7 linked regions of the Macaca fascicularis genome follow. The protein of the gene in region 4 interacts with the protein of the main gene of each other region in a biochemical or structural test. Links are inferred from orthologs where the notes say so. Each region holds a gene or a part of one and is shown on either strand. Other genes may lie near its edges.

Region 1 (3,948 bases), on a different chromosome or scaffold from region 4:
CATTTGGCTTTAAATATGAAAATATCTGATAAACTTTATAAAATGTACACTTTAAAAACATAGCTTCTGCAAAATTTTCTTGAAAAAACAAACCTGTGCACCAGAAATTTTATATTTTTTTCTCTTTTTCAGAAATAAGTTGAAAGATTTCCCTCCCTCTTTCTTGCCCCCCCCCACACCCACCCCCTTTCAAATTTCTCAAGTCTTTTTAAGTGGCAGCACTCTGTGTTTAGGGGGAGCCTCTTTTGTGGCCACCCCCATTCTCCACTGTATCTTCATTTAATTTACATATCACTGAATACTCTTTGGTTTGATTATTTTCCTTTGCAAAACATCATAATAGCAGCAGCTGAAGCCCTCAATATCCTCTCACTGTCAAGAACCAAATTGTTGCCTCTTCTGTAAGTTTTCTTGTCCACTCAATCCCCAATTCCTCCAACTCTTTAAACACCTTCCCAAACCTGCCTTAACATTTGGATCTAAAACAACCACTTGCTTAACATCTCTTTCTCGGTTTCATTGAAAATAACACCTCAGTTTTCAAAGCCATCAAATCTGAAGGCTGAAAACAGCAAAAATTGTCATAGTTTTGCAGGCACGGCATTCAGATATGGCTGTTCAAGAACCAGAGACCATCACAAACATCAATTTACAAAATATGTGATTCTAGAACAAGCTGTTTTTTAATGGCATACAGAGATATAATACCATAAGAGAGTTGATTTTGAGACTCCAATTAAAAAGAAAAGTCAGTAACCCCAGAATTCACAAATAGGGAATTTTAAATTAAAAACAAAACAAAACAAAAAAAAAAACCAAAAAAAGAGTTCCATTATTGAGCTACAGTGAGAAAAAAAAAAAAAAATGTGTCTAGCAAGGCAGTCAGCCAGGCAGGGGAGGCTTCTGGAAAACAATGTGTCCTTCCTTAGTAACCTGCTCTAGGGCTCCACAGGAGACAATGCTTAGCTCACATTCAATCATAAGTATGCACACAGAAAAGGGAAATAGCCTTTTTAGACCATTATCTCCTTTACTTGTCATTATGTTGTATTTTTATGACTCTCTTTGACCCTAAAATACTGAGACATTTTCATTACTCTCCTCTGCCATAAAAAAGGCAAGTTTCCTCTTCCTCCTAAATACTTGATCTGAAGTGCTGCATCAGATTGGTTTGTCCACACCTCCCCGTTTCCCCGCTTTGGCATTCACCGCCCTATCTGACACTGTAGGACTCACTCCAGACAGACTGATCAGAGGAACAAGCGTGGAGGCCAGGTGTGGCATCTCCTCTAAGGTGAAGGTGGGCTGGCGATGTCCTGACAGTCCAGGCAATAAATTCAGCAGCAAGGGTTTACACCCATTTATCTTTCATGCTGGATGGCTCAGTTTTGAGAATGCCAGGATGCCAAGGAGGTCCTATGAAGATCTTATGAAATGAATTTTGGAATGTGCAAAAGGGAAGGCCCAGAAACATGTAAGAGTACATCACCATCTCGCACACTACACATGAGCCTGGCCAGCACTGCCTAGCAGGAAAGGATGGATGTTGGTATTGTGTGTATGTGAATTTTACTGCCCCTTTCTTCTTCTTCCTCTTAAAATAAAAAAAGTTACATGAAAGGACAAAATTTTAAAAAGCACTACACTGACTAGACTCGGTGAGTATGATGCTCTATTTTCTGAATAAGGTGCAAAATGAACCGGCGGTTCAAGGTCTTGCTGAGGTTCAAAGTTATTGTCTCTTGATTTCAAGGCAGCCCATGGGGCTTTGTTTTCTTTTAAGTGTAAGCTCCACTGTGCAAAAATATGCATTATCTTTGGTATTTATTTTAGGTAGTTTAACTTAAAATTTGAGATAACCCATTAACATCATGGAGGAAAAAAAAAACAACAACAACCCAGAGGCTACCATTTGGCTAGTGTTACATAATGCCCTTATGTAACAAAGAGAGAGAGAAAAAAAAATCAATTCTAGCAAACAAATTACTGGCCTCAAAAAATCAGGCTCTTGTTTTGGCAGTTGATAGCCAAATACTTGCCACTTTGAAGCGCATCATGAGCTTTCAATCAAGTTCAACACTGACTTTAAAATTACACAGAAGGAAAACTACACTGCAACAAAAATACACATTTGTGTTCATGTAGTTAGCAGCTTTTCAAAAATTAAGGCAGAGTCTTGCCTTTGTTATGCCATTAAAAACATCCTTGTTCCCTAAAGAGAAGCATTCTGGATAAATCAAATACCCAACCAAGGCTTGCCTGCAAGTTCAAGTTTTGGAAAAACACAAAACAAAACATAAAAACCCATAACTTATTCTACAACATCTATGTGCCATTGGGTCACAATGGAGGCATGGTTAGTGCTTTATGCTAATCATGGAGCTTACAGTCTTTCTTTGAAACCATTGTGCTTGCCTCAGTCCCTTGTGGCCGCTTGCTTGACCCATCTTGACCAGTACCGTCATCTGTATAACTGTTTTGGGCCTCTGACCAACAGACCGTGTTGTAAAGTAACTATTCCAGAGGAGGAATCAGTCAGTCATATCTCCGACTCTCGCCGTAAGGGCCTGGGCTCTAGAGGTACACTTGCCTGGTTGTGAAGGTCTATGTCAGGGGGCGTGTCCGTACTAGTGCTTTCTGGAACTCCGTTTTCACTGTCATCTTCCTCTTTGCTTGTGAGGGCAACTTCATTTTCATAGCAAAATGAATTCGCATTTGAGAGGATGTATTTCTTTTCTGCTAAGTCTCTTGCACTGCAAAGGGGAGTGTTGGGGACTTCGTAAGTTTTGTGGAACCTGGAATAGTCCACTTTGTAGTAGTGCTTCTCTTCAAAGAGCACAGGCTCATAGCGGTGGCCCCACAGGATTTCATTTGCTAGATAAGAGCTACGGCACTGTGTCGTCATGGCAGTGGCTTCCACCATGCCTTCCAGTATGACCACGATTTCAAAGTCTGCATTGTCAATGTCCTGTTTACTCAAATCATATAAAGGACTGTCTTCGTCTATTTCATGGACTATAGTGATTGGGGACACCAGAAATATACGATCGATTCCACTGTCAAACCCAACATTGATGTCTATTTGATCCAGAGGGATATACTCCCCTTCAGAAGTGATTCTGGATTTGAGGAGCTGTGCTCGGACATGAGCTTCCACCAAGTGGCTTTTCCGAAGATTGCCCACTCGCCACATCAAACACAGCTTGCCATCTCTCATGGCAATCACAGCATTGTGACTGAAGACGAGAGTCTCGTTTCTCTTCTTTGGCTTTGCCATCTTGGCCATGACTGCACCAATGATGAAAGCATCAATGATGCAGCCCACGATTGACTGGAACACCACCATGAAAACAGCAATTGGGCATTCATCCGTGACACACCTGAAACCATAGCCTATGGTTGTCTGGGTCTCAATGGAGAAGAGGAAGGCAGCCGTGAAGCTGTTGACTTCGGACACACAAGCTTTGCCCTCTTTGGATGCATCCAGGTCCCCATGGAGCAGAGCTATCAACCAAAACACACAGCCAAAAAACAGCCATGACAGGACGAAAGCCAGGCAGAAGATAACCAGCATCCACCGCCAGCGAATGTCCACACATGTGGTGAAGATGTCTGCGAGGTACCGTTGCCCCTTCTCACCCACATTGATGAACTGAACGTTACAGTGACCATCTTTCTTCACAAAGCGGCTCCTGCACTGTTGTCGGGTGTGGACTTTACTCTTCCCGTTCCCAAAGCCATTTGCAACTGCCATGGTGGCCAACTTCATACCGTCTTCTTCTGAAGAGACAATGCTGTAGCGGTTGGTTCGCACACTGCCCATCGCTTCTGCTGGGGACTCCAGTGCCTCTGCTTTGGAAAACAGTCTGAGTTTTTGCAGAACGCTTTGGAGAAACAGTTTTGAATGTTCGGTGAAGACACACACACACAAAAAATGAGGAGAGATGG
Region 2 (4,409 bases), on a different chromosome or scaffold from region 4:
GAGATGACAGAACTGAGAAAGGAGGCCATGATTCCTCCCCCACCCCTTCTCTGTAGTCTGTGCAATTGCCCTCTATACTCCTGGTGCCAGTAACTACTTACAGGCTGGAGGCTCCCAGCTCTGTTTCTCCAAACTAGACTCTCCTGATCTCAATGCTGATGTTCCTACAAGACACGTCCACTAGTTTGGCCCAGAGACCCTGCTAATTCAACCTGTCTAAACCAGCATCAGCCGCTCAGCCCCACAACCTACTCCGCTCCTGTGTTTCCTAACTCAGGGTGCAGCACAGCCAGTTACCCTTCCCCCACATGCTAGAAAGCTGAGGTTTGTCTTGAAGCCCACCCAGCATTCCCCCCTCACATCTGAATGGTCACCATGTCGGGTCACTCTTACCTGGTAAGTATCTTGAAAATCCACCCAGCCCTATTCCTAGTCCAACTCTCCTTTCCAGACCCTCATCAATTCTTCTGTGAACTCCACGTGCCTCATGTATTTAAGCCTCACCTATAAGCCCATGACTCCCCACTTTGAATCTCCAGCTCAGACAACCCCGAACTCCAGGCTCAGATAGAACAACTATATCTTTGACATCTATTCTGGGACATATAATTGGCATCTCAAAATTAATATGTCCAGAGCGAAGAGCCTGCTATTTTCTAACCCTGCTCCATCTTAGAGAGACTTCTCCATCTCAGCAACACAATTTTCCCACAAGCTAAAGTTCTGGAACTCTCCCAGATTCTTCTCTCATACCAAACAACCACTCTTCAGCAAACCCCATTGGCTCTACCCTGCAGGCCTTCAAATTACATCTAGAATCTGACCACTTCTCCCCTCCTCCGCTCCACTCTGGCCTGAGCCACCATCTCACTTGGCTTACTACGATAGCCTCCTACTGCCAGTCTCCGCTTCAACTCCTTCCCCTTTCACTCTATTGTCCACATAGCACCATGGAGAGCCTACTGAAATCTACAACAGATTATGTCACTCCTCTGCACAAAGTCCCCAATGACTCCCCATGGTCTCTGAGGCTCTCCACCATCTGGCTCTGTGACTTCTCTAACGTCATCCCTTACTTGTCTCTAGCTCCTTCCTTGCTAGTGACACCTAGTCTCCTTGCTGATCTAGGAACACTTGGCTCACACTCACCTCAAGGGCTTTGCACAGGCCTCTGAATAGAATACTATCACTGACCCCAGGTATCTGTATGGCTGGATCCCTCGCCTCTTAGGGGGCATTACTCAAATGTCACCTTTCTCAGGCTTTCCCTGATCATCAAAATCTCTGAAGGAAACCAGAAGATGAGGCATATTTGGGGGTGACACATTCTGGTCTCCTTTGGCTCCTTAAATGATTCTGATGCATGCCCATCCTGAGTACTTCTGTGTTCGCCTCTACCACCTATCTCATTTATCACATTCGATTTCCACTGTTGGTTGGTTTGTATTCTCCACTAGATGGTAAGCCTAGCAAAATGGTAAGACAGCAAAAGCCGTGTTGTGCTATTCTCTGAATCGCCCAGACCTCGTGTATGGTTGAATATTTGCAGATGTGTGGAGTCCTCACCATTTCAAGTGTTGTCTTAGCTGTGACTGGTTTTCAGTGACACTAACCACTTGGGTAATTTATTAAAATATATTGTAATTACACTGAGGTAGAAACAAAGGTGAAGGGAATGTTTCTTGTTTCTGCGCTTTTGGAAACTCCCAAAAGTTTGGCACAATGGTATGACCAGGACAGGCAAGAATGGGCATGTAAAACTGACTCAGTTACATTACAGCAGTGCATGCTGCCTGAGTGCACTCTGGTGTCAGAGACATGGCCAAGTTGTGGGAAAACTGGATGTTCCGGGTTACAGGATAGGCCATCCCTTGTCGTCGGAGGATGGGGTGGCCCCTCCCAGCTAGACACGGTCACTTTATGTTTCTGATTTCTCTTAGTTCTGCAGCTGCCTCAGTAGCAGTAGGCTTGCCTGTGTGTTCATGAAAACAATAAACTGGTTCCCTCAAAGTGTGAAGAACTGAAAGTAAACCGTTCTGTTTTCTTGCTTCCTGAGCAGTTTGGACGTTTTCCATCTCGGATTTTTGCCTCGATCTGCACCAGCTCCCACGCCCGCGGGGTCCCATCTCCCCGTCCCTACTCCCAATCCCCCATCAAAGACCCCAAGCAGCCACAGCGGAATTGGGGTCTTAAAACCACACGAAGCAAGGTGATGCTAAAAGAGGAGAGCCCGGCTGGGATCTCCCTCCCAAGAGGATTGGTGACCTGGGCAGGGACAGCCAAGCGGTCGCCAAGGGCAGCAGGTGGCGGCGCGGGAAGTGGTTTGACAGCTGCGAAGCCCCTCCCGGGGATCCAGGAGCTGGGGCTCTCGGGGCGGAAGTGAGCCAGGTGCGCGGCCCGCAGCAGGTCCGAGGGCGGCAGCCCCCGGATGGGGCGCTGAGGTTTCCGGGGGTTTGGGGGAGGAGAGGCCGGAGGGGATGGATGAAGAGGGGCAGCCCACCCCGCCTCGGCCAGGCCCTGCGCGGCGCCCGGGGAGGGGGCGGGCAGGCCTCGCGCGGGGCACTCGGGAGCGGGGCGCGAGAGGCCGGGGCGGCCCGGGGCCCCGCTTACCTGTCCAGGGTCTCCACGCTGGGCTGCCGGGAGCCGGCGGCGGCGCCCCCCGCGGCCCGAGGAGGCCTCCTGCCGCCCGCCGGCCCCGGGTTCGGGCCCCCGCCGCCCTCGCAGCCCGCCGCCGCCACTGCCGCCGCCGCCGGCCTGTCCATGGCGCGCCGAGTCCTGCCGCCTTGGGGAAGCCGCCGTCGGGACAGGAGCGGCGGCCGGGAAGGTTTCGCCGCTGGCCTCCTGCCGCCTGCTCTACCGCCCGCCCGCCTCAGGCGGCCGCCGCCATTAGCTGTCACCTGGCGGCCCCGCGTTACCCACAAGGCCGCGCGCGCGGGGGTCGGGGGGCGGGAGCGGGGGCGGGGAGGGCGGTGCGCGAGGTCGGCGCCGGGAACCCCCACCTCGCCCAGCCCCACCTGGGCGCTCGCCCGCGAAGCCTTGGAGCGGGGGTCTGGGACCTCCTGTTCCAGCGACCTGGGTGCGTACAGAGCCACTGGGGTTCGGAATCCCCAAACGGATTATGCGTAGCGTGCTTCGCTCTGTAGTTACACCGGGTTGACTGCAGAGACGTGGGGTGTAAAAAGAAGTTTGAAGACATTCAGGTATTAAAAATGATTCCCCCCCTCAGTTGTCCTTCCCAGAAAAGGTATAGGACAGCTCAAGCTCCTTCGGTCTTGACATCTTGAAGCACGAGCAATTCCGTGCATTATAGCAATTCCTCCCCACCCCATTCTTCCCTCCATTCTCCCGCGCCCTCCCCCCCACCCCGCCGCCACAAACCCACCTCCTTGCCATCTGTAGGGCAACCAAGTGTTCTGATGCCGCCCTCGGAGCTTCCGCCCATGGTTTATGTTAAGACCAACATTTAACTTCTGTTGATTAAAAATCACTGCTATGAAAATCAAGCCAATATCTTGGTGAGGCGTTTAGGACATTGGCTTTCTGGGCTAGATTTATTTCCTTGCTCATTTTGTGTGGGTTCGAATATCCAACAGCTCATCCCCTCTCACCTCACCCCGATTAAGTTGGAAATGGGTGTGTGGCTCATGATTAAGCCTCTTTGCCTGTGATTGCTCTGGGTGTAGACAGGAGTCCTATGACCCAGGTCTGGCAAAGGAGATATAAAGGGAACAATTCGCTCACTGTTAAAAGGCAGACCTGCAGACAGGGAGTTACTCATGCCCATCCCAGACCCATCCTGCCCTACCAGCTTAATAACTTCAAACTGAACTTTGAGGATATGATGCCTGAAGCCCCAACAGCCATCTTACTCACAAGAGGAGGTGAGCCTGGGTTAAGAAGATGACAGAGTGAGGAGGGCTAGGAGGAAGGAAAGGAAGATCCCCAGACAATAATACCTCCTATCTCCCACTGGAGAATCACCTACTGCAGGTTGCTGGCTTTCTAAAATTATTAAATCAAACGGTTAGCCCACTGTTACGGACTGAATGTTTTCATCCCCCTGAAGTCCATATGTTGAAGCCCTAACTCCCTGTGTGATGGTGTTTGGAGATGGGGTCTTTGAGAGGCAATTAGGTCATGAGGGCCAAGCTCTAGTCTGATGGAACTGGTGCTTTTTAAGAAGGGTCACCAGAGAGCTTGATGTCATGCACTCATGCGCACACTGAGAAAAGGCCGTGTGAGTACACAGCAAGAAGGTGGCCATCTGCAAGCCAGGAACAGAGCCCTTACTAGGTCCCTGCTGGACCCTTAATCTTGGACTTTCCAGCCTCCAGAGTTGTGAGAAAATAAATTTCTGTTGTTTAAGCCACCCAGTCTATGGTATTTTGTTTTGGCAGCCTGAGCACGCT
Region 3 (4,719 bases), on a different chromosome or scaffold from region 4:
GCTCCTTTGACTTGACCTTCAATCCAGAGACTTGGTGGTAAATGGAAGGGAGAAGGGTCTGAGGCTCGGCACGACCTGGAAGGCAGGAAGCCTCCGTTGGCAGCTCAGTTCGCATTCTCCACGGAGTTCTCAGACTACGGCAGAGCCCGGGAGGGTGGAGCCCAGCAGCGGAGAGGCTGGCGGGGCGGGGTCGCAGAGGCCGCGGAAAGCAGAGGGGCCGCGGGGTTGCGCAGTCGATCCCGCCCCGAGCCCCGGGGGAAGGGCTGAGACTGCGGGAGCCGATTCCCCGCTTTGGCAGCGACCCCAGGCTCAAAGCCGCGGGAGCAGGCAACCCGGTGCGCGCTAAATAACGACCTCACGGAGAAACAGTCCCTGAGCCCGTCAACATCTACCCCTAATCAGATTACTGAAAATAGGAAGGCCGGCTGCAGGAATAGTGACACTCTGGGCCCCCACGACGGGAGGCCGCGGCGGAAGCGGCGTGATTTTCGGGGTTGCACCTCAGCAAGATGGTGGCAGGGAGGATGGGACTCCCGAGGAGGAGCAAAGAAATGGATCCCCTCCCTCCAGAACACCGGCATTGATTCTCTGTCTTGGGGCCCCTGCCCACTGGGGAAGGCCTCATTCCCTTACCGACCAGAATACAGGTAGGGAAGAGTCTAGCCAATGGGGTGCAGTCAGATCAATTAACACCTCAAAATGAAAATCGGTTCCTGTTGCTTCCTCAGCCCCGAGATGAGCTCTCCTCTAAGTGTTTTGCTTCCTTCTCCCCCAGTTTCTCAGCTGTAGCCTTTACCACTCCTCCAAGCCCTGGGGCTGAAGGCAGGTGTTTCCTCTCCCCCAGCCTGATTCCCACAGATCTGTCTGCTTCAGGGTTTAGGGCCCACCTTCCAGAACACGGCTTACCAAGCTGCCACCATCCTTCCTGCCCCTCCCGGAGTCTGCTCCCCAAGCCACCACCCTCAGCCAAGGAGGGTAACTCAGCTCATGGGCTAGGAGGCCTCTTTCCGTCCCCTTCTTCCTAAACGCTCCTGGCCCAGCCCCTCCTCACCCCCAGGCTCCTTTCCTGGGCCTGGCCCAGCCTGGAATAAGCTTGGTCTCCTTCCTCCAGGTAGAGGGCCCAGAGTGAAGGGGGCACAGGAGGGCCTCCAATGAGAAGCCCTGGAGAAAGGGCAGCTTGGGGAGGGGCTTAAGGAGCAGGGCGAGGGTCTCTAGACTCCCTGCCAGACTCCTCACCCAGAGGAGGGAGCACTACAGAATGGGATTTTGTTTCCCTTCCCTCCCCAACTCCTTTCCCCTCCCCACAGGGGCCTCAGTTGAATGCCGGCCTATTGCTTCATCTGACATTCCCCCTGCCCGGCCAGCAGGCGCCGGCATCATGTCTGCAAGTTATTGTAAGTCCGGCAGGAATGCCCAGGAGGGAGGTGCCTCTGGCCAGCAGAGTGCCCACTCCCCTCCCAAGATGTGGCTGGCCACTCCTGCACCCTCCACACCCAGTTGGAGAAGAGCGGCGGGTACCCTCAGGGAGGTGGAGGAGTGTATGAGGCCAGACGTGACTCGGGGAAGGATGCCAGCAGCCCCCTCTACCAAGAGCGAACCAAGTACGTAAGAGAAAGAGAGAAAGGAGAGCAGGAAGGACAATCCCATTCTTAATTCCTAGCTCTTCAGCAAACCAAGGAAATGACCCAAGATGCTCAGGGACCCTTCCACAGATGCCTGTGGCCCACCCCGTCTGCCAAACACTCACCAGCCCCACAGTCTCCAGCCTTGAAATCGGAAACTTTTCAATTCACCCTTCTCCTTCCTCCCCTTTGGGACCAGAGATGTGTGGGGCGGTGCCCTCGGAGACACTCATACAGTTGGTTCTGGACGCTCACACACTCTCAAACAACAGCGGTACGAGGGAACTCCCAGCTTTTTCCACAGCTAATTATAGATGTGAAAGTCTGAGGATGTTTTGCAAGCAACACAGAGAAACTGCTTAGGTTTCTCTGCAAAGCTAAAGAAATTTAATTTGTGCACTCTCCTTCCCCCACTCCTCCCAACTTCTCCCAGCCCACCTCTACCCCATGGCCCCAAAGTGCCCCTCTCCTAGTTCCCGCTGCAGCCCCCCTTTCCTGCCGAAGATTTCTTTAGTTCCTTTTTTTTTTTTTTTCCCATCTCTCTTTTGGGCTTTTGAGAAAGGGAACAGACACGGAAAATATTTTTGCAACAGTTTTCCATCCTGCGTCTCATTCCCAAGCCAAGGGGGAAGGGGAGGGCAGGAATGGAATGGGTTGAGGGAGGGGAGATAAATGTTTTTTCCAAGAGTTCAATTTTGGTGTCAAAAAGAGAGTCCCTCCATTCCCCTACCCCATAGCACAGGAATGACAAGAACTAAAAAAAGAGAGATAAATCACTTATTTGACTATACAGTTTCTCAGAAAACAGTATTTGACAAATCTGTGCACACACACATATTTTTAAAAATCCTCCAAACCCAGTCGCATGAAATATGCTAGAAAGAGGAAAATCGGGGAGTTTTAGAAGCCACTGAGAGAAAAGAAAGAAACAAAGTTTGCAAATCACAAGTCAATTCATTCTCTGCAAGCCTACCTCTCTTTCTAGCAAAGATCCAGGTTTCTCCAAGTGGGACTCTCCCTCCGGGTTTCCATGGATGGGGGTAGGGTGGAGTGACCACCCACCAGTCTCCCCAGTGTGGCAACCAAGCTGGAGACGCTGGCTTTGCTCTCTTGCCTTTCCGGCTAAGGCCGGGGAGTGGGCTGGGTCTCCTCCCCCTGCCCTTCCAATGGGAAGGACCTCTCAGGTTCCTGAAAGAAAAAGGGTGCAGGAGAGCTGGACGGGTGTCTCTGATCTTGCTCTCTTCAGAGGGATGGTTGCCCAGGAAGTTCGTGCCCCCCTCCCAGCCCCCAGCGTTGGACAATCTCAACAGCAGAGCTTTCTTAAGAAAATGCTTGTCATGGCAACAGCTCTAGCTAACTCGGGCCAGACTCCTGCTCACCAGCTCTCCCCAAGCAGTGCGGGAAGAGAGAGGGGAGGAGCAGGAGCTGGAACAGAGGTGGGACTTGGCATGAGGCCAAACCATTACTCTACTGTTAAGGTGGCCCGATTCCTGCGGTTGCTTCCTGGTTCGTCTTAAGGGGGAATGGGGAAAGAAAGGGAAGGAATCCTCTCCCCTGTCGGCTTTCTTCTCCACCCTTGCTCTCACTTGTTGAATAGAAAGCTGAGTGGGGTGGAGGAGGGGTGAGGGTGGAGGTGGGGAGTGGATGTGGGTGGCGGTATTCAACGGTTGCTGGGCGGAGGGGAAAAAAAAGGAAGCTTCGGCAGGCGGTTGGCTTCCTGCAGCTCCCATGGGCCTCTCAACCCCTTACTCACTTAGATCCAGGACCCAGAAACCCAAGGTGTCTGTGGACACTTGTATGTCCCCTCCCACCTTCCTGCTCCTGTCTGAATAGGGGGTTCCTTGGAGAAGGAGAATAAATTGTTTTGTAAACACACACACACACACACACACACACACACACACACACACACACCTCCTCCCCGACACCTTATATACAGGTCACATTTTGTTCCCTCTTGCCCCTGTACCCACCAGAGGTATACTGACAGTGCATGAAAATAGCTGCCTACTTTTGAGTCCTGCTATGCGTAGGCTATGACACCAAAAGCTTTGTCTATACGATATCATTTCTAGTCCTTATGGCAATTTTGAAAGGTACTTGTTATTAGCCTCATTTCCTAGCTGAGGAAATTGAAGATTGAGTGTCTGGCCCAAGGTTATACATCTGGTTCATGACAGAGCCAACAATTCAAGGCCAAGTCAGACGGACTCCAAAGCCCAAGTACTTTCCTGTACTTGTATCATACTCTGGCACACATTTCTGTTTTAATTTGGACACACTCAGACATCCCTGCACACTTATACACAGCCTGTAAACTGTTAATCACACCCCCATACCCACACACCCACTAGCATTGTGCAACAGTGCCACCCATAGATTTTGCATAGAACTTTATGGCTTTCAAGCACAAACATGCACCATCAGCTAGTTCACACAACAACATATCTTCATTGACTGACAGATTCCCACACCTACCTCAGCAAACACACTCATGTTTATATGCTTGTGGAAGGCGTGTTGACATATATCTCACAGGTTATAGCTATGAGCTATGCTGTGAAGAAGGTGACTGGCCACTACTTCCCAACCTTTTAAACAGAGGGTTGGGAAAAGGCCTCTTTGATCCTATCATTCTAACCCAACACCTCACACCACCCCTGTCCTTCTTTGCTGTCATCCCTGCCCCCAAGAAGCAGAGCCACACGCACATGGAGAAACAGAGTTGTGAATTAGACCCAGGGGTTCAGTTTCCCCTGTGTCCAATTAGCACCCTTCCCAATGTTCTCTCATTTGGGTCCTCTTTTTCCTCTTCATTTTCTTACCCTGCTATTTCTTTTTTCTTTTTTTTTGAGATGGAGTCTTGCTGTGTGGCCCAGGCTGGAGTGCAGTGGCGTGATCTCGGCTCACTGCAACCTCCGCCTCCCGGGTTCACGCCATTCTCCTGCCTCAGCCTCCCGAGTAGCTGGGACTACAGGCGCCTGCCTCCACGCCTGGCTAATTTTGTTTTTGTATTTTTAGTAGAGACGGGGTTTCACCGTGTTAGCCAGGATGGTCTCGATCTCCTGACCTCGTGATCTGCCCGCCTCGGCCTCCC
Region 4 (3,948 bases):
GTCTAGGCTGGTCTTGAACTCCTGGGGCTCAAGTGATCCTCTCACCGCAGCCTCTGGAAGTGCTGGGATTATAGGCATGAGCCACTGTGCCAGGCCCAGGTTCCTATTTTTCATTCTGCCAAGAAAAAGTATTCATAAAGACCCCAAACTACCATCTCCCCATAGCTATCATTTCATAAAAGATAAAAAATCCTAGAGTAAGGGCAAACCTTTTAAATAAACAAATGTGTGAAACCTCATTACCACTACTCAATCCTTCTATTTCTCATTTTACTAGGGACAGACAAAAACTCATAAACTAGCATATGGGACCCAATTCTGGATTTAAATGACAACTTTTCTGACAGGCTTAAACTCACTGACAAAGGATACTTAGGTTTTTAATACAGATGGGCATTTCCATGGTAAGCAGAGTAGTAGTTATTATTTATGACAGATTTGCTTCTAATGCATTTGAAATCAGGCCCTCCCCCATAACGCAACTTCAGTTTTTTGTTTGTTTTTGAGACGAAGTCTTGTTCTGTCACCCAGACTTGAGTGCAGTGGCACGATCTCGGCTTATTCCAACTTCCGCTTCTTGGGTTCGAGTAATTCTCCTGCTTCAGCCTCCCCAGTAGCTGGAATAACAGGTGTGCGCCACCACACCCAGCTAATTTTTGTGTTTTTTGTACAGATGGGGTTTCACCATGTTGGTCAGGCTGGTCTCAAATTTGCGACCTCAAGTGATCCACCCACCTCGGCCTCCCAAAGTGCTCGGATTATAGGTGTGAGCCACCACACTTGGCCCCATAATGCAACTTCTAACCCAAGGACTTGAGTCCAAGTCAATACATGATAATTTCAATTTGGTGGGCACACTTAAAATAACAAATTTAATACTGTAAAATACTCCAAACATATAGAAAAGTAAATAACAGACACTATGTATCCATTATCTTTTATCAGATATAAATATTTTACATTATCGCTTAAACATTTTAGTAACTTGATACTGAAATATTAATATTCTATGTTTGCTTTAGCTCTTTCTATGTATGTACATAATAGTTTGAGAAAAAACTGCATAATGCTCCTTTACCTCATATTTCTTAAAAACAATGGCATCTCTTATATAATCACAATATGATTCCAAGTGGCCATCTAATGTTCCTTATTGGAAAAGAAAAAAAAAATTTCCTGGTCCAGGATCCAATTCAGGATCATAGGATCACACACTGTGGTTAGCTGTAAAGCCTCCTTAGTCTCCATCAATCTGACACAATTCCTCAGTCTTGGTCTTTCTTGATCTTGATGTTTTTGAAGAGTATAAAATATTATGTCATAGAATATGCCTCAACCTGGGTTTGTGTGTTTCCTCACTCTCGGATGGCAGGTTACACATTTTTGGCAGGAATACCACAGATATAATGTGTGTCCTTCTCAGTCCATCATATCTGGGAGGTGATATTATATCTATTTGTCCCACTGGTAGTGATGCTAATTTTGATCACTTGTTTAAGGTTTTATCTGCTAGGTTTCTCCACTGTAAAATTATTACTTTTGCCTTTGTAACTGATAAGTATTTTGGGGGAGGACACTTTGAGACTATATAGATATCCCATTTTTCATCAAATGTTCACTAATTTTAGAATACACTGATGGTTTTTGCCTGAAACAATTATTACCATGCAGTTTTCAATATTTTCTAATCATTTCTTCTACCTTGATTAGTAGACAGTCCAAAGTGTTCCCTTCTATCCACTTATTTACTCATATACAGATGCTCCTTGACTTATGATGGGAGTTACGTCCCAATAAACCCAAGTTGAAAATACTATAAATTGAAAATGCGTTTAATATACCTACCCTACTAAACATCATAGCTTAGCCTAGATTACCTTAAATGTGCTCAGAACACTTACTCTACAGTCAGACAAAATCATCCAACATACCTGTTTTATAATTAAGTGTTGCATTTTTCATGTAATTCATTGAGTCCTGTACTACAAGTGAAAAACAGAAAGGCCGTATGGGTACTTGAAGTATGGCTGCTACTGAATATGCATCACTTTTGCGCCTCTGTAAAGCTGAACCATTCTAAGTTGGGGGCCATCTGTGTTTATTTCATTATGGAGTCTAGGATTTTAATTTTACTCTATATATTATAATCTGTGATTATCATTTATCTTGATATTCAAATTATCTCAGACTTGGCCAGTGGGGGACCCCACAGCTTGGTTCCTTGCCTTTTTACACACCCTCATCACTCGTGGACTGCTCCCTTGTTTTTCTGGCAGCAAAAATGTTACAGGCTCATCTTGCACTTTTCCAGTCCTGGCCCCAGAATCAGCCATTTCTCTAAGGAGTCCTGAATCTTTCAATTAACGAATTATATTTAGAAGCCAAGACCTGGGCACCAGATATTCTCATGGCTTATTCAGGGTTATTTTTAGGTCTTCTTAGTGGATAGAGCAAATAAGCATACGTGTGTGTATATGTAAATACACATCTTTCTAGATCTACTCTATTACAATTCATGGGTTCATATTCATAGCTCTAATTATCTAATATCTCCAATCCAATTATCAGAGTTCATTTTATCCTCTCCCTTTTTCTGACAGTCAAACCTCACTCCCACTACTGTCATTACATTAGTTTATTTGCTCAACCCTAGAATATATATTAGTTTCAGAACTGTAAGACCATACACTCCACCCAACAAACCTACTGATTAGAATTTTATTTTGTTTACAGATCTTTCTGTCTTCAGCTTGTGTTAAAGAATCTCTGGGATTAAGACTTCTCCCTTCTCCCCTCTTCAATGTAGTTATTCATTTGAAATGGTTGGATATCATATCCTATGTACAAAGGCCATTTTTATATCTTATTTTTGTGTGAACTATGTATTCTCATCTTTTGTCCATTTTTTTTTTCCCTATTGGGTTTCTGGTCTCTATTCCCTGTTTTTATGAGTTCTTTATATATTGGGAATATTAGCCCTTTTCTTCTTGCAAATTTTTTCTGTCAGTTGTCTTTTGACATTGTTAATGGTGTTTTCTAATAGTTTTTGGAAAAGTTCTTTGGCCATAAAAAAAGTTTTTAAAAATTTTAAGTGGTTAGATTTATTGATTTTTTCTTTTCTTTTCTTTTTTTTTTTTTAAGAGCCAGGGTCTTGTTCTGTTGCCCAGGCTGGAGTTCAGTGGCATGATCATAGCTCGCTGCAGCCTCAAATTCCCAGGCTTAAGTGATCCTCTCAACTCAGCCTTCTTAGTAGCTAGGACTATAAGGGTGTGCTGCCATACCTGGCCCTTATCTCCTTATAATATATGCTGGAGGGTTAGGGTTAAACAAAGGTCTATCTCTAGCAAATGACCTTAAAATAACTTCTCCTCTTACATTCATGTTACCATTCCTATTTTCACTTTCTTTGTCTACCTTATTTACCTGTTTTATCTTGTATGCACTTTCCTGAGCCACCAAAAATTAATCATGTAGGTAAGCAAATTCATTACGTTAATAAAACTAATTAATGCTGTATCTATCCTACCACTCTTTCATACTGTCAAAGGCATATCTGATTAGCAGCTATATTCTGGGACTAGTCTGATGCTTACCTTTTCTGCTACTTCTCGCACAGATTGAACACTTGTTCCATATAGATGATTGTTATACTGGCCAGCTTCAATGAATTTATGTTCCTGGATATCTTTTTCCATCTGCTCTCTTGAAGTCACAAAATGATAATCTCTTCCGTCTACCTCATAATCTCGTTTTGGTCTAGTTGTATCTTTAACAGAAAAAAACTTGGGGAAGTGTTTAATATTAAAAAAAAAAAACCCACAATAAATCCATTTTCTACTTATATCATTGTTTTGTAAAGTTCAACAGATTAATTTAAATCTGAGAAAGGACAACAATATGGAGGATGGAAGAGTAACTGATAAAATAGGTACAAACCGTTAAAAAATG
Region 5 (4,602 bases), on a different chromosome or scaffold from region 4:
ACAGGGAGGGAGGCCAGGTGGCCAAGGCCCAGGCCAGGGAGGGGCTGAGGAGAGGCCAGAGGGAGCCGGCAGGGCAGCACACACCAGGTGAAAGTTTGGCTTTGATCCCAAGAGAAAGGGAAGGATTTAAACGGGTGTGATGCTAAACGCGTCCTGCTGGCCGTGGTGTAGGGACTGGCCAGAGTGAAGCAAGAATGGACCTAAACTGGAAGGACAGCTCTGCCAGAGCCGTGGGCAAGAATGTGGAGGGAGGAGGAGAAGGAACAGAGGCCCGTCCAGGGAGGCCTGGGAGCAGTGGGGTCTGTGGACACGACAGCTGGAGGGTGCCCAGGAGAGCGCTTTGGCAGAAGATGGAAAGCAGTGTCCTGTGGGCTAGGGGCCATAGGACTTGACTTGGCCTCTGTGGTGTGGGGGCTGGCCTGGAGAGGGAGGTGGCATGGGGATGGCAGGACTGGGGCCTGTGGCAGAGCCTCCTCCCCCGCTGAGCAAGGCATGTGGCCTCACAGAGCTTCAGTCTTCCAGGAAGATGGGGTTCCAGGGAAGGAGCCTCAGCTGCAGGCCGGGAGCCCAGGGGGTGGACCCCCAGGCACAGCGGGGACCCCAGGACAGCAGGGCGGTGGCTAAAGAAAAGCCCAGCGCGGTGGGTCACGGCTGCACTCCCAGCAATTTGGGAGGCGAAGGCAGGCGGATCACGAGGTCAGGAGTTCAAGACCAGCCTGGCCAACATAGTGAAACTCCGTCTCTACTAAAAATACAAAAAGTTAGCCGGGTGTGGTGGTGGGTGCCTAGAGTCACAGCTACTAGAGAGGCTGAGGCAGGAGAATTGTGTGAACCCAGGAGGTGGAGGTCGCAGATCGCGCCATTGCACTCCAGCCTAGGCGACAGAGGGAGACCCCATCTCAAAAAAGAGAAGCCCCAGTGGACGGGCGCGGTGGTTCAGGCCTGTAATCTCAGCACTTTGGGAGGCCGAGGCAGGCGGATCACTTGAGGTCAGGGGTTTGAGACCAGTCTGCCCAAAATAATGAAACACCGTCTCTACTAAAAATACAAAGCATTAGCCAGGCATGGTGGCATGGACCTGTAATCCCAGCTACTCAGGAGGCTGAGGCAGGAGAATCACTTGAACCCAGGAGGCAAAGATTGTGGTGAGCCGAGATCATGCCATTGCACTCCAGCCTGGGCAACAAGAGCGAAACTCCATCTCAAAAGAAAAAAAAAAAAAGAAGAAAGAAAAGCCCCAGAGCGCTTGGCTGGATGGGGCAAGGCCCAAGCAGGTGAGTGAGTGGGTGGGTGGGGGCAGGGGGCCGAGGGGAAGGCTACAGTCCTGGGGCAAGGTCTTGGTGTGACGGGCGGGATGGGGGAGTGCAGTGGTGGCAAGGTGGGGGCAGGGCCGGGTGTGACGGGGGTGTCGAGGTGGGGGCAAGGTTGGTGTCCACTGCAAACAGATTTCACAGGGCCCGGGGTGGTGAGCTGGGGTCAGGGTGGGCTATGGGAAGCCTCAGAGAAAAGGACCCACCCAAGGGGCTGAGAGAGTGGCGGTGGCCAGGAACCAGGGGGCAGGTGGTTTGCTGGTGGACGCAGGGACTCATTCTCCCAGGGCACCGGTGGCTCGGATGACCCAGGAGGGTCCAGAGCATCTCACACTGGAGCTAGGGTCCGGGTGCCCAGACCACCTGCCTTCAGGCTGGGCCCAGACCAGGGGCAGGGCAGGAGTGACATGGGGGGCAGTGGACAAGTGGGACTGTGTCCAGAAACCAGAGGGCCCCTGGCAGAGAAGTCAGGCTCTTCGCAGCCAGCCACGCCGTGGGAGAGGCCCAGGGCAGCTGTGCATGGCATCTCACAGGCAGGACTGGAAAGGATGGGCCCCCACAACGAAAGGGAGGGTGTCTGTGAGATGACCACCACGCCCAGTGCCCCCCAAACAGCAGCTCCCTGAACCCTTCACTCACCCCCAGGGTTCACCATACTCCCTACGTTCTGGCGCCCCCCTCCTCCCCCTCCACCGGGTCGGAAGACTAGGGAGATGGACAGCAACAAAGTGGGCTCCACAGAGGGGCTGGAGAGGGGCCCGGATGGGAAAGAGAAGGTGCCCCTTCCAGGAAAATCCTCCTGCCGGGAGCATCCTCTCACCGCGGGCTTCCTGGCTGGGGGCAGGGTTTGGCGTGAGACCTGGAGGATCCCCTGGGCCTGGCCAAGTCGTGTCCCCTGACCAGGGCCTGGCTGAGACGCCAAGTCAAGGGGCTCTTTCCCGGGCCTGGCAGAGGAGGGGGAATGGCCCTTGGGGGAGTCGTCTCCTTGCTCTCCTTCTCCCCTGGGGGCCCACGGCCCGACCCCCGCCCCGCCCCACAGCAGGTTGCCTGGGGAAGGAGTTGCCGGGTGGAGGGACCCAGCCCAGCCGAACCCAGCCGAGGCCGGGGCGCCTTCCCGGAGCGGGGTCGCGCGACTCACGTTCTCGTGGCGCATGTGCTTGAGCAGGCGCAGCTCGCGGTAGGCGCGCTTGGCGAACAGCTCCGACTGGAAGGGCCGGTACAGCTTCTTGATGGCCACCTTAGCGCCGGTGCGGCTGTCCACGGCCGAGCTGCGGGGCGGACCGCTTAGCGGGAAGGCCGGGCACCCCGCGCAGGCCCCGCCCGCCCCGCCGGCCGCCCCGCGCTCACCACACCGCGCCATAGGCGCCCGAGCCCACGGGCTGCAGGTCCCGGTACACGGCGCGCACCTCCCAGGCCGTCTTAGTCACCTCCTGGCGGTAAAAGCCACTGCGGGCAGGCGGCGGAGAGCTCATGGCAGGCCCGGGAGCCGCCCACCCCGCAGAGCCCGCGGGCGGTGCCCCAGGACCGGGGACCTGGGATCGGCGGGGCTTCCTCGGCGTGCGCCCCGGGCCGACTCTGCGCTGCTCGCCCGCCCGCCGCTGGGACGCTCCTGTTCCCGGCCCTTCCCTCGGGGATGTCCCAGGTGCCGACCCTGGCCCGACCCCGACCCAGGCAGCGCACGGCCCCTCCCCCGCCCGGGGACCAACCGGCCCGCGGGCGGCGCGCACGTGACGCCCTCGCCCGCCCTCCGGCCCCTCCGGAAACCCGAGGCGGCCGCCGCCGGGGGAGGGCCGGAGCCTGGGGGGAAGCGCAGGGGGAGGGGAGCGCCGCCCCGCAGCTTTGTCCCGACCTAGGGCCGGACGCGGCGCGGAGATACCCCCGTCAGCCTCTCCCCTTTGGCTGAACTGCCCCGCTCTGGGGGTGGAGCCGGGAGAGTGGGGAGCTCCTGCGGAGACCCTGGGCTCCAGTCCTGACTGCCCATGGTTCCAGGGCGCAGGGCCCATCCTTGACAGCCTGAGCGCTGACTTCTATCGGCAGTCCCAAGTTGGGCTGAGCCCTGTGTACCTAGAGTCAACTTCCCACGCCACCCCCAAGGATGCCCTACCTCTGCGCCTGATCCATCCATCCCCGAATGGGGGGTCCATCTGCACCTGTCTTGCCTGTATCCCTCTTTCTACACGGAGGGGTCTGTCTCCCAAAATCCTCAGGCTGCATCCCCAACCCCACCCCTGTGGCCACTGACCCCGGGCCTCTCAGTCCCATAGGTACCCGAGGGCCCTTTTGGACACCCAACTCCTCCCCCTGCTCCCCCCATCTGCGGGGTGACTGCTGCAAGTGTTGCAAGTGCTGGTGCCCCTGCCCGTCCCATCCCTGCCTGTCCTGTCCTGCAAAACCCAGGCTGAGGGTGGCTGCACTGTCTCCAGCAGGGATGGGGACCTGCTGGGGCCCTCAGCCTGACCCCTCTGTGTGGGCGTTATCCTCCCATATGTCTGGCCCCATCCTAGACCAGATGCTCTGGTGGGCCAAGCCCCACCCTGACACCCCCTCCACAGTCCAGAAACCTGGGTCTGAGGAGGGATGTGGGTGCACCCCGGGAGCCCACTGGGCTGGTGGGTAACAGGATCGCTAGGGCCCTCTGCCCCGCCCTCCGGCCATGAATCAGCAGCTCAGCCGCTCAAGGGCGGGAGGAGCTTTACACCTGGGCTTTGGGCTGTGTTCCGTGGCATTCATCAGCTCGTGCCCAGTGAGCAGGGGCAGCCCGGGGCTGCCCAAACCACAGCTGCCTGTGGCCTGCACCCTTTGTGCCCTGGGCTGCCTGTGGCACTCCATCTACCTCTTTCAGGAAGCCCAGCTGCCACTGCTGTCCCCCTTAACTCCCCGTGGTGGAGCTCAGGGGTCCAGAAGGCCCCGCACAGACCAGGCTTCTGAGGTGGGGCTGTGTCCCCATTCTGCTCCCACCCCCAACCGCCAACACTGGACTTCCCCCAGGACTGACCACTACACTGATGAGGCCCCAGGAGGGCCCCCAACTCCCAGACAGTTTCCACCCCTACCCAAGACCCAAGCAAGGGCACAGACTGTCCCTGGCCCCTAGAGACACTGCCTGACCCCAAATGGTCTGGCCCCTCCCCCACACGTAAGCTGCAGAGCATAGTGGGAACGGGACCAGCACACACATTCTCTGGGTTAAAGTGGCCTCTTTTTCCTTCACCAGGAAGGAAAGGAAAGCTATTTTCCCTAGCCCACCCAGCCCCCGCCCAGGGATGGGCAGACCCTTGCTCCCTTGACACCC
Region 6 (4,477 bases), on a different chromosome or scaffold from region 4:
GAGACATTTTTACCCCAATTCTCAGGAAAAAGTAAAGTTTAGAAAGGTCAAGAAACTTGCTTAACTTGCTTAAGGTCATAAGGCTAGACAGTGGGTCTAGACTCAAATTCAGGTTTGACTCCAAAGCTTACCATCTTTCCACATTTCCCTGCTGTCTCTGATTCATAGGATAATTAAGAAGGAGATAAAATACAAGTCATGTTTTCTGGTGAAACTGTAAGAGAATAACACTAATATCTTCATATATTGATACAGCCAAGGAGGAATAAGGTAAAACCAGCAGGATTGTAACAGATAGCTTGGTTCTGAGTGCTATGAACCACCTACCTTTATGTTTTATTGCAAATGGAATGATGCACATCAAATTCACTCCAGCAGACTTAATACTAAAAGAAAGGAAATTTATATGATCTGTCTATGGATGCTCTTACCCACCTTGCTTTTTTTGAAGTCAAAGCTTTATTTTCATTCAGCTTTCTCCCACCACTTTCTGTATCAGAATAAAAGATATTTTAGTGGGTTATTTCTATACATTTAACATAAAACATTAAGAAGTTCATTCTTTGACTTTCTACCAAAATAGTAGTCTGTATCTAATTTTTAAATCCTCATTTAGTAGGCTATTAAGACACTGCTTAAAAAGAAAACATTTATTAGGGAAACAGTAAAAATTTGTATAAAATACAATCATTTTATTTCTCAGACTCAAGGGAGTACTTTAGGAATGGGTCTATATTTACTCTATATAGTGTAAAATCTAGAAGCCACTACTTCAGTGTCATAGACCTTCAATATAATGAAAATGTTTATTTGTCTACGCTTTGAAAACATACTTTACTATATGTATTTAATAATAATGAAGGTAAATACTTCATTATAAAGATTTAATGATAATGAAGGTAAAATGGGTTAAAGCATTTATTTATTCAAGAATATAAAAATCAGAAGATTTAAAAAAATTTCTCCTCAGAAGAGTGGGGAAATTAAAAACAGACTCTAAATAAGCTGAATCAAATCAAATATTGTGATAATCAAATACTGTGATATTGTCACCACTTGACAATCATTTAATAATTTTGCTATCTCCTGATATTGGGAACCCATACAAGTAACTGAGAACTAAATAAAAGATATTAAATCACTTGGGGACCCAGTATTCTTTAATATTTAATAGATAAAATACTTTGAACATACAACATTTCATTGTACAAATAATGTAAAAGCTAAAATATAATTCACAGTAAGTATTTGGTTAAATTCCTATTTTCTAAAAGAAGAAATACCTGTGGTATTCCTAGCACCATCTTTCCATGTATCTGGAGTGATAACAGTACCAAGTTTCTTTTCACCTGTTAGAACAAGATAGTAAAAGGAAAATTAAAATTTACTATTTCATAAGTGCATTACATTGTGCCTAAGGCTCACAATGGTATCGACTATCAATGCTATTACCATAGGAGCCTGTTAATGCTGAGAAAGCAGCCAGTCAACTGAGACTCATATTAACTGTGGGCAATGAATGACTGACCGTCGGTAAAATTCGCAGGATAATAAGATGGCTTATAATAAGCTTTCACTGTTTGTTTATACTTTTAAAAAATCCAATAAGTCTATTTGTTCCATAAATATTTACTAAGCATCTATGATGTATAAACTATAGAAAGTGCTGAGAAAAAGTGATGAATCAGACAAAATTTTAATGAGATTATAGTATACTAATTTCTTTAACAGCAATCTGTAACCTGGGTTCCCCAGGTGGATCTTAAGAGATATGTGAACAAGGTGGAGTTGTACACAAACCTTTTATATTTTCAGTTTTTTTTCCTGGCAAGAGGCTACAGTTTTCATCAGATTCTCAGAGGGATCACAGACCGTCTCCCCAAAAAGAACCATTCAACCAAAATGTAAGCTAAAAAATAAAAGATATAATAATTGAGAACTAAAGTACTAGGAGAAATTCCAGGCAGGAAAAAATAACCCTGGCTAAGGAAATCCAAGAAAACAAAGTTTGGAGAGAAGGCAAGAGAGAGGATTTGAATATGTGGCAACAGGACTGTGAACAAAAAGGAGTAAAGAGGATGAACGCAAACTAGATAAAGGACACATTCTGAGGAAAGGCATAGAAAGCTTAGAGTACACATGGGCACAAAGAGTATTTTGTTTGGTCAAAGTGTGAAGAGGATGAGGGTCAGTGAAAATGAAGCTGGAAAAATAAGTTAGCGCCTTAGTGTGGAGGGTACTGAACGTCAGGTTCCAAATATAGAATCCCCAAATTATTCTCTGCACACTGAGAGTTTATTAAAGGATTTAAATTAGGGAAATAATAATTTGCACTTACGTTGATGTTCAATTCAAACATCTCTGGGTTTACTCTACGCCATATCCTGGCATAATGACTAATGAGAATGAATAAGGCAAAGTCCTAAGTCTTTGGTTCCAGTGTCTAACATTTGGCAGGAGTACAATACTTGTTACACGAATAAAAAGGAAAGGACAGGAATTGCCAAGAGGGAAAGGTGTCGCTGGGGTTTAACTGAACATTTTTATATGGGAGGGGAGCCGATGAGATCTGGGGCTGGGGGAAGGCAATGGAAATAGAGAGGGAGGTGCAGAACTGAGACCATTCTGAGTACAAAATACATAGGACTGTATGGTCGTTGGGGAGGTGCAAAAATGGTCAAAGGGTAGGGTAGAAAGACAGCGGCTAGAATCAGAGACCTGTGGGCGAAAAAAACAAAGAGAAGGCAAAGTTCCCGGGAGGGCTCAGTTAGATTATCCCAGCCTCCTCCTCCCGCAGAAGCAGCCCCTTAACTCACATTTTTCGCACACCATCCTTCCCCACGACAGTTCCCCTAGCCGCAACAGGAGCAGCAGGAGCCTGAAAACATCAACACTGTAACTGGGAAGTATTCCCCTTCCGGGCTACGTCAATCCACTTCCGGCTTCTAAGCCCACCGCTCCCGCCTACCCCAAACCTGGAAAGCCGCGGGAGGAATGAACGCGAGCGGCTAGGTGGGGCTGCCCCATTTGCCCGCCCCTCCCTTTCTGCGACTGGCTGTTCGGCCGTGGGTGTCCGCCCCACAACCCTGCGTCTGCGCGTGGGCCTGGGCCTCCTGTCGTACCTGATGGTGGGAGGCAGTAGTTCCCCGCTTCCCTTCCGCGGGCGGGAAAGTTAGGTAAGCCTCGCTGGACTTCCCAGGCGCTCTCGCCTCCCGGGGTGCAAGTCACCCCCGCGAATTGCCGAAGCAGCCCTGAGCCTCGGCGCCCCGGCCCGCCAGCTCTCGCCGTCAGCTCGAGCGCCACTCTTCCGGCGTGCCCTGATGGACAGACCCCCTTTCGGATCCGAGTTTTTGCCTCTGTCCCCCAGTTTTTCTTTGTCTCCAACTCCCGAGCTCTTTGATCCTGCTTCTCAGCTGGTTCCTCGCTGCCCACGCTCGCGCCGGCCTAGGGTCGGGCAGAATTCCCAGCGACCAGGGTTGGGGTGGAGCTGCCGGTGGAGGTGCGGCGATGCCCGTGAAGGCTCCTCTGGGGGCCGCTCTGAAGAGCCTTCTCTCCGCTGCGGTGCCTGGGGAAGGTGGGCCGCGTCATGCCCGTGGCACCCCTGCAGGCGCCCTGGGGGCACGCCAGGGCCTAACACGGTGCTGGTTTCCCAGGAGAGTTGGTTTCCCACTTTGCCTACTCTGGTTCCTTCATTCACTCAGCAAACGGTTGAGTTTGGTAACTGCTCACTGTATTACATCCACATCTGATGGCAGCTGCGATTCCGAGGGTGGCTCAGAAAAATGGCTGAAGGGCTATCTGTTGAGAGAATGGATTCCTGATCCCCTTGCCCTCCCTCAATCAGCTTAAGAGAATCTATGGGAAAGTTTACCATTGTCCCTTCTTGCCATCCGTTTGCTTCTTCATGCCTAGTGTATTTCCTTATACCAGAGAGAGAGCTGTAGCGCGTGGGACCTTGGACCACCTCACCTGTTTGCCTTGTTTCCTTATCAGTAAAATATCTGCCTTTGAAAAGCACTGGGTGAATTAAATGAGAGCTATTAGGATAAGGCCCAGGTTCGCCCTTCTGCTTTTCACACTAGCGGGCGCCCCTCCGCGCGCGCGCGCGCCCACGTGTGTGTGTGTGTGTGTGTGTGTGTGTGTGTGTGTAGTATTTTTTTCTGAGATATTTCTATTTTCTGGAATATTCTCCATAGTGTAACATATTGACTGTTACTTTAAATTAATAAAGTCCTTGTTTAACAGTACAATTAACTCTCAGGTAATTTAAATACGTGTATTGTAGAGATGAGTAATTTGTTTTCCCTCCTTCCATTCGTGCTCTACTTTTGGTTGGAATTTAACACCTGTAACAGACGTTGTCATCTTGGTGTTTCTGAAGCATCGAGATCCCTTAGTTTAGTGTGGTGCTCTTTGAACTCTTGATTCCACTGGCCACCATTTGAGTATTCGAGTGTGCACTTGGTGTCATTTGGCA
Region 7 (3,948 bases), on a different chromosome or scaffold from region 4:
GAAAGCAAAAACAAAACAAAACAAAACAAAAAGAAACAAATTACCACTAATGTTGCCTTGAACACACGGCCCCCATACAATCGCAGGTCACTGAGGAACTTGAGATAATGGACCTTGGCTTGTAGTGCAGAGAGCTGAGGAGAGAAAAGAAACCTCAGGTGTTAACTCTATTGGGTATGACTCCATTTCAGCTGGAGACCAGCAGAAAACAAGGCTAAGATAGAAGGATGATTTTACTGCTGAAAAGTTGAGATGTGACAAAGACTCTTCATTAGGAATAGAATTGCTACATATTTGGTTTCCTGATGAAGGACTGGAACATAAAATCAAGATTCACATCTTATTCATTAGAGGGTCAATGTATGGGGCACTCATGGGTATAGATATGCTGGGCCGGGCACTCAACAAGTGAGAACAAGACCATAAAATGTTCCATTGAACATCTGCTCGCTGGGAGATTTCAAGAAGTGAGAGGAGCCTTCTACTTGCAATTAGGGACAAAGGTGAGGTGTCCACATATATTCCCATTGCACAAGAGACTCACCTGAATGTAGACTTTGTGGGAATCATTTTGAATACGCACCTGCAATCTAGGCAAAGCCTTCTAAACAGGCCCTTTACACTTCCCCTCTCAAGTTTCTTCCAGTCCTTGCAAGTTTTCGGGGGAAATGAACTTTCTGAGATCCAATCATTGTGGACATGTTTGAACTTGCTATATAAGGCTCAGTTTTATTAATTCAACTTGGAAAATCTGTTGAGTTTCACGAATGATTTATAAATGAAATTTTATCCAGATGAAAGTTATCTTTACAAAGACTTAAAAAATGTAGGTTCCCATATCACTAAAAAGAGTATTTGATTTAAAAAAAAAAAAAAAGGTCAATGTTTCATACTGAATGTGCCAGGGATTTTTTATTAAGGTTGAAATTTTCCAACAAGGTGTAGATCACCATTAAGTGGCAATGACCATAAAATTCTATTTTCAATTGCAGATGACTTGCCAGCTTATTTGTTAACTATACCTGAAGGAACTGCTCTTTATATAATTGTTACTTAGCACCATTCATCCATCCTACTTCTTTAAAAAAAGCAAAGCATTTGCAAATTGTTTTGAAAGCAAACTATTCACTCTTGGCTAGAAAAACAACCTTTAAAGGACAGTGATGGATAAATGGATAGATTGATTGATCTTATAGCAGTTATCCAAATTATTATGAGTGGGCCAGGCTTGGAAGAAAAATCACAAGTCAATTAGAGAAATCAGCTTCCAGCAAATCAGAACTGAAGTTAAGAACTTGACCCGCATTGTTTTGCTACATCTCTGTAAGCTGAATGCTCAACTGTGATCAAAGACACCCTTCCCATGAAATTGGGAAGTGAGTTAAAGGTGGCTGATAGTGTGGTGAACCTGATTATACTTAAAAAACAAACAAACAAACAAAACAAACAAAAAAAACCGTCATGGGGTGTGGAGGGGATAGAAATAAATGTGCCTTACCCAGTAAAAATGACTTAAAAAAATCAGACACTAAGACAAAATAATTCTCCATGTAAACAGTGATTTGTATTAGAGTCACACAAATTTCTCCAGCTAATATCAATTGGAAAGTGTTCTTCAGTTAGAAGACTGCGTCCAATTTTATAGATCCAGTATTTTAAGGCTCCTTCTCTTTCTGGTTCCTAGAATCTTTTGCTTTTTATTACCTATAAACTATACCTCTCTTTTCTGACCAACAGTATATTTTAAAATTTCCTTTGTGTTTCTTTTACTTAATGAAAACAAAACAAAAGCATAAAAAGATTTTAACACTAATGATGGTGAATGACAGCAATAATTTTATCTTCCCTCTAAAGGTAGGTTTGAATCCAATGTTTGTCAATAGGGGTGATTTTGTTCCCTGGAGCCCATTTGGCAATGTCTGGAGACATTTTTGTTTGTCACGATCATGGGAGGGTGCTACCAGCATCTTGTGGGTAGAGACCAGGGATGCTGCTAAATATCCCACAATACACAGGATGTTCCCCGTAACTCCCTAACAAAGGATGATCTGTTCTCAAATGTCAATTATGCCACAGTTGAGGATCCCTGGTTTAATGAATGTGATCTCTGGCCTGCAGGGCCTCTTGCTGGCTGTTGTGCATTTAAGCTGGTCTGAGCAGTAAGCAATTGCATGATTGAAACATAGAATTATTTCACGATTCTATCTTCTATTCACAAGTTCTCAGAGGCTATGCAAACTTTTCCTGGATGGGCACATGAACACACACCTCCCCCCTACAGTACGGAGTCCATAACTTGTGAGAAATAAATAGGTTTCTGTATGAATACTTATTTTTCATTAGTGTTAGAAATATGTTAATAGTTAGAAAAAAGTTACACAGTGTTACTGCTTCTGAAAATATGGTACTAAGTATTTTATTCATGAGCTAATTTTAAACATTTAAAAAAATGCATTCAAGCCTCTCTCTTTATAATTTTCTATTAAGATGCAAATGTGATACCTTTTTACCCGGTGGTACCAAGTTCTGATTTGCTTTGACAAGGTGTGAAAGTGCTTTCTTTATGTTCTTCTCTTTCATGCTTTGCAGCACAGCAGAGGGAAGAAAAGTCTCTAATCCCCATTCTTTTCTGCAATAAAGAGCATATCTTTAATTTCACATTCTTGTGATGATGAGTTATCTAAGACAAAATGGTGCTCTGATGTTTGTTGGAACAAATGAACCCTTGGTAAGGCAGAGAATGGAGACAAGTCCCCAATTAAGGAAGTAACTTTTAGTTTGCACTCAGGACACACACTACTTGATCATTAATACGTATGTTTGCATTTAAAAAGAAATCTATTCCTCACTCTATAGAGACAATGCTAAGGAGGCATTTGGAGCCAATGTAAAGTGAAGAGACATTTTGTCCAACCAAATTCTGAATCTCTTCAAAGTCACTGACGTATCCGAGTTTGTATTTCCAACACCATTTTCTCTCCATCCCTTTGTTGATTTCTATTCTCCAGTCTCCCTGTCTGCTCACATTCTTTCTCTCTTCTCTTAGAAGAATGGATGCAAGTCCTTCATGTCCCCAAACCATTCTTCCCTGTCCCTCCCCTCCTCCATGGCTATTTCTCTAGGCACACACAATTCTTTTGTCCTAGCCAGTTCATGTCTAACTCCTTCCATCAACATTTCTTGCTGGTGGTGTGGAATTGGGTGTGATTCATGACTCTTAAGTGTGCCCGGTATTGATCTGGAGATGCTGGCATCATTCATGGGTATGGATGTACAACAAAATGACAACAAATGGGGCTGAGTTAATACATTTTTACAAAGAGCCAATTTCCCCAGAAATGATTACAACTCCTTTCTTAGAAGGTCCCATATTTTGAATTCTAGGAAATCTATCCTGGAATAGAAATCCTACCCTAGGTTATGTGTCTAACCAGTGTCTTCTAAATTATGTGAAGACCTTCAAGAGGATTCCAGTTACTTCTCCTGTTCCAGGTCCTCTCCAAAGAAGGGTAGGAAGACAACCTACCTCCACCACTTGACCATTCATATTCTTCACTAGTTAAGAATGGTATATTTCATGATTATGTTTTCTTCCTTCTCAACTTGTACTTATTGTCTTTAGCCATCATTTGGCACTACTTATGGGCTATCTTGTAATCCTACTTGTATCATTGTTTTAAATAATTACTTTTCTTGTCTTTTTATCTTGTTTTTACAATCAGAGCACAAGTTCCTCAATGGCCAGGAATAGAATTCATACATATTAGTATTTTCTACTGTCCTAATGTGAGTGCTATATAAAATGCTCAATGAATATTTGTTGGTCAAAGGAATTTATGAATGAGAACATTATTATAGACTTTTCAGGATTTTTACTCAAGCCGGATATCTCTGAGACATTTTTGACTGTACAATGTTCAACCTGGTAAAATGTGGGTACAGAAAGTA

The links.
Region 1: the proteins of DLG1 (region 4) and KCNJ2 form a complex in vitro, tested with the Homo sapiens proteins (2 studies listed by BioGRID and IntAct, with this or other methods). The link is inferred for Macaca fascicularis from reciprocal best matches to the Homo sapiens genes DLG1 and KCNJ2.
Region 2: the proteins of DLG1 (region 4) and MTMR1 interact in a test that uses a peptide from one of them, tested with the Homo sapiens proteins (2 studies listed by IntAct, with this or other methods). The link is inferred for Macaca fascicularis from reciprocal best matches to the Homo sapiens genes DLG1 and MTMR1.
Region 3: the proteins of DLG1 (region 4) and ATP2B4 form a complex in vitro, tested with the Homo sapiens proteins (2 studies listed by BioGRID and IntAct, with this or other methods). The link is inferred for Macaca fascicularis from reciprocal best matches to the Homo sapiens genes DLG1 and ATP2B4.
Region 5: the proteins of DLG1 (region 4) and MAPK12 interact in a test that uses a peptide from one of them, tested with the Homo sapiens proteins (2 studies listed by IntAct, with this or other methods). The link is inferred for Macaca fascicularis from reciprocal best matches to the Homo sapiens genes DLG1 and MAPK12.
Region 6: the proteins of DLG1 (region 4) and CRIPT form a complex in vitro, tested with the Homo sapiens proteins (3 studies listed by BioGRID and IntAct, with this or other methods). The link is inferred for Macaca fascicularis from reciprocal best matches to the Homo sapiens genes DLG1 and CRIPT.
Region 7: the proteins of DLG1 (region 4) and FRMPD4 interact in a test that uses a peptide from one of them, tested with the Homo sapiens proteins (2 studies listed by IntAct, with this or other methods). The link is inferred for Macaca fascicularis from reciprocal best matches to the Homo sapiens genes DLG1 and FRMPD4.

Annotation. Positions count from the first base shown.
Region 1 is NC_088390.1:76,476,469-76,480,416, reverse strand, and holds part of KCNJ2 (inward rectifier potassium channel 2), read right to left. Parts: 5' UTR 3,824-3,948; coding exon 2,540-3,823; 3' UTR 1-2,539.
Region 2 is NC_088395.1:156,756,709-156,761,117, reverse strand, and holds the start of MTMR1 (phosphatidylinositol-3-phosphate phosphatase MTMR1), read right to left. Parts: upstream 2,896-4,409; 5' UTR 2,763-2,895; coding exon 2,611-2,762; intron 1-2,610. UniProt on the Homo sapiens protein: Lipid phosphatase that specifically dephosphorylates the D-3 position of phosphatidylinositol 3-phosphate, generating phosphatidylinositol. Could also dephosphorylate phosphatidylinositol 3,5-bisphosphate to produce phosphatidylinositol 5-phosphate.
Region 3 is NC_088375.1:61,453,670-61,458,388, reverse strand, and holds the start of ATP2B4 (plasma membrane calcium-transporting ATPase 4), read right to left. Parts: upstream 3,020-4,719; 5' UTR 2,596-3,019; intron 1,893-2,595; exon of another isoform or gene 1,748-1,892; intron 1-1,747. UniProt on the Homo sapiens protein: Calcium/calmodulin-regulated and magnesium-dependent enzyme that catalyzes the hydrolysis of ATP coupled with the transport of calcium out of the cell. By regulating sperm cell calcium homeostasis, may play a role in sperm motility.
Region 4 is NC_088376.1:2,497,302-2,501,249, forward strand, and holds part of DLG1 (disks large homolog 1), read right to left. Parts: intron 3,767-3,948; coding exon 3,594-3,766; intron 1-3,593. UniProt on the Homo sapiens protein: Essential multidomain scaffolding protein required for normal development. Recruits channels, receptors and signaling molecules to discrete plasma membrane domains in polarized cells.
Region 5 is NC_088384.1:1,294,570-1,299,171, reverse strand, and holds the start of MAPK12 (mitogen-activated protein kinase 12), read right to left. Parts: upstream 2,951-4,602; 5' UTR 2,783-2,950; coding exon 2,658-2,782; intron 2,579-2,657; coding exon 2,449-2,578; intron 1-2,448. UniProt on the Homo sapiens protein: Serine/threonine kinase which acts as an essential component of the MAP kinase signal transduction pathway.
Region 6 is NC_088387.1:75,424,841-75,429,317, forward strand, and holds the start of CRIPT (cysteine-rich PDZ-binding protein), read right to left. Parts: upstream 2,920-4,477; 5' UTR 2,833-2,919; coding exon 2,817-2,832; intron 1,350-2,816; coding exon 1,284-1,349; intron 491-1,283; coding exon 436-490; intron 1-435. UniProt on the Homo sapiens protein: As a component of the minor spliceosome, involved in the splicing of U12-type introns in pre-mRNAs. Involved in the cytoskeletal anchoring of DLG4 in excitatory synapses.
Region 7 is NC_088395.1:12,477,551-12,481,498, reverse strand, and holds part of FRMPD4 (FERM and PDZ domain-containing protein 4), read right to left. Parts: intron 2,630-3,948; coding exon 2,503-2,629; intron 135-2,502; coding exon 45-134; intron 1-44. UniProt on the Homo sapiens protein: Positive regulator of dendritic spine morphogenesis and density. Required for the maintenance of excitatory synaptic transmission. Binds phosphatidylinositol 4,5-bisphosphate.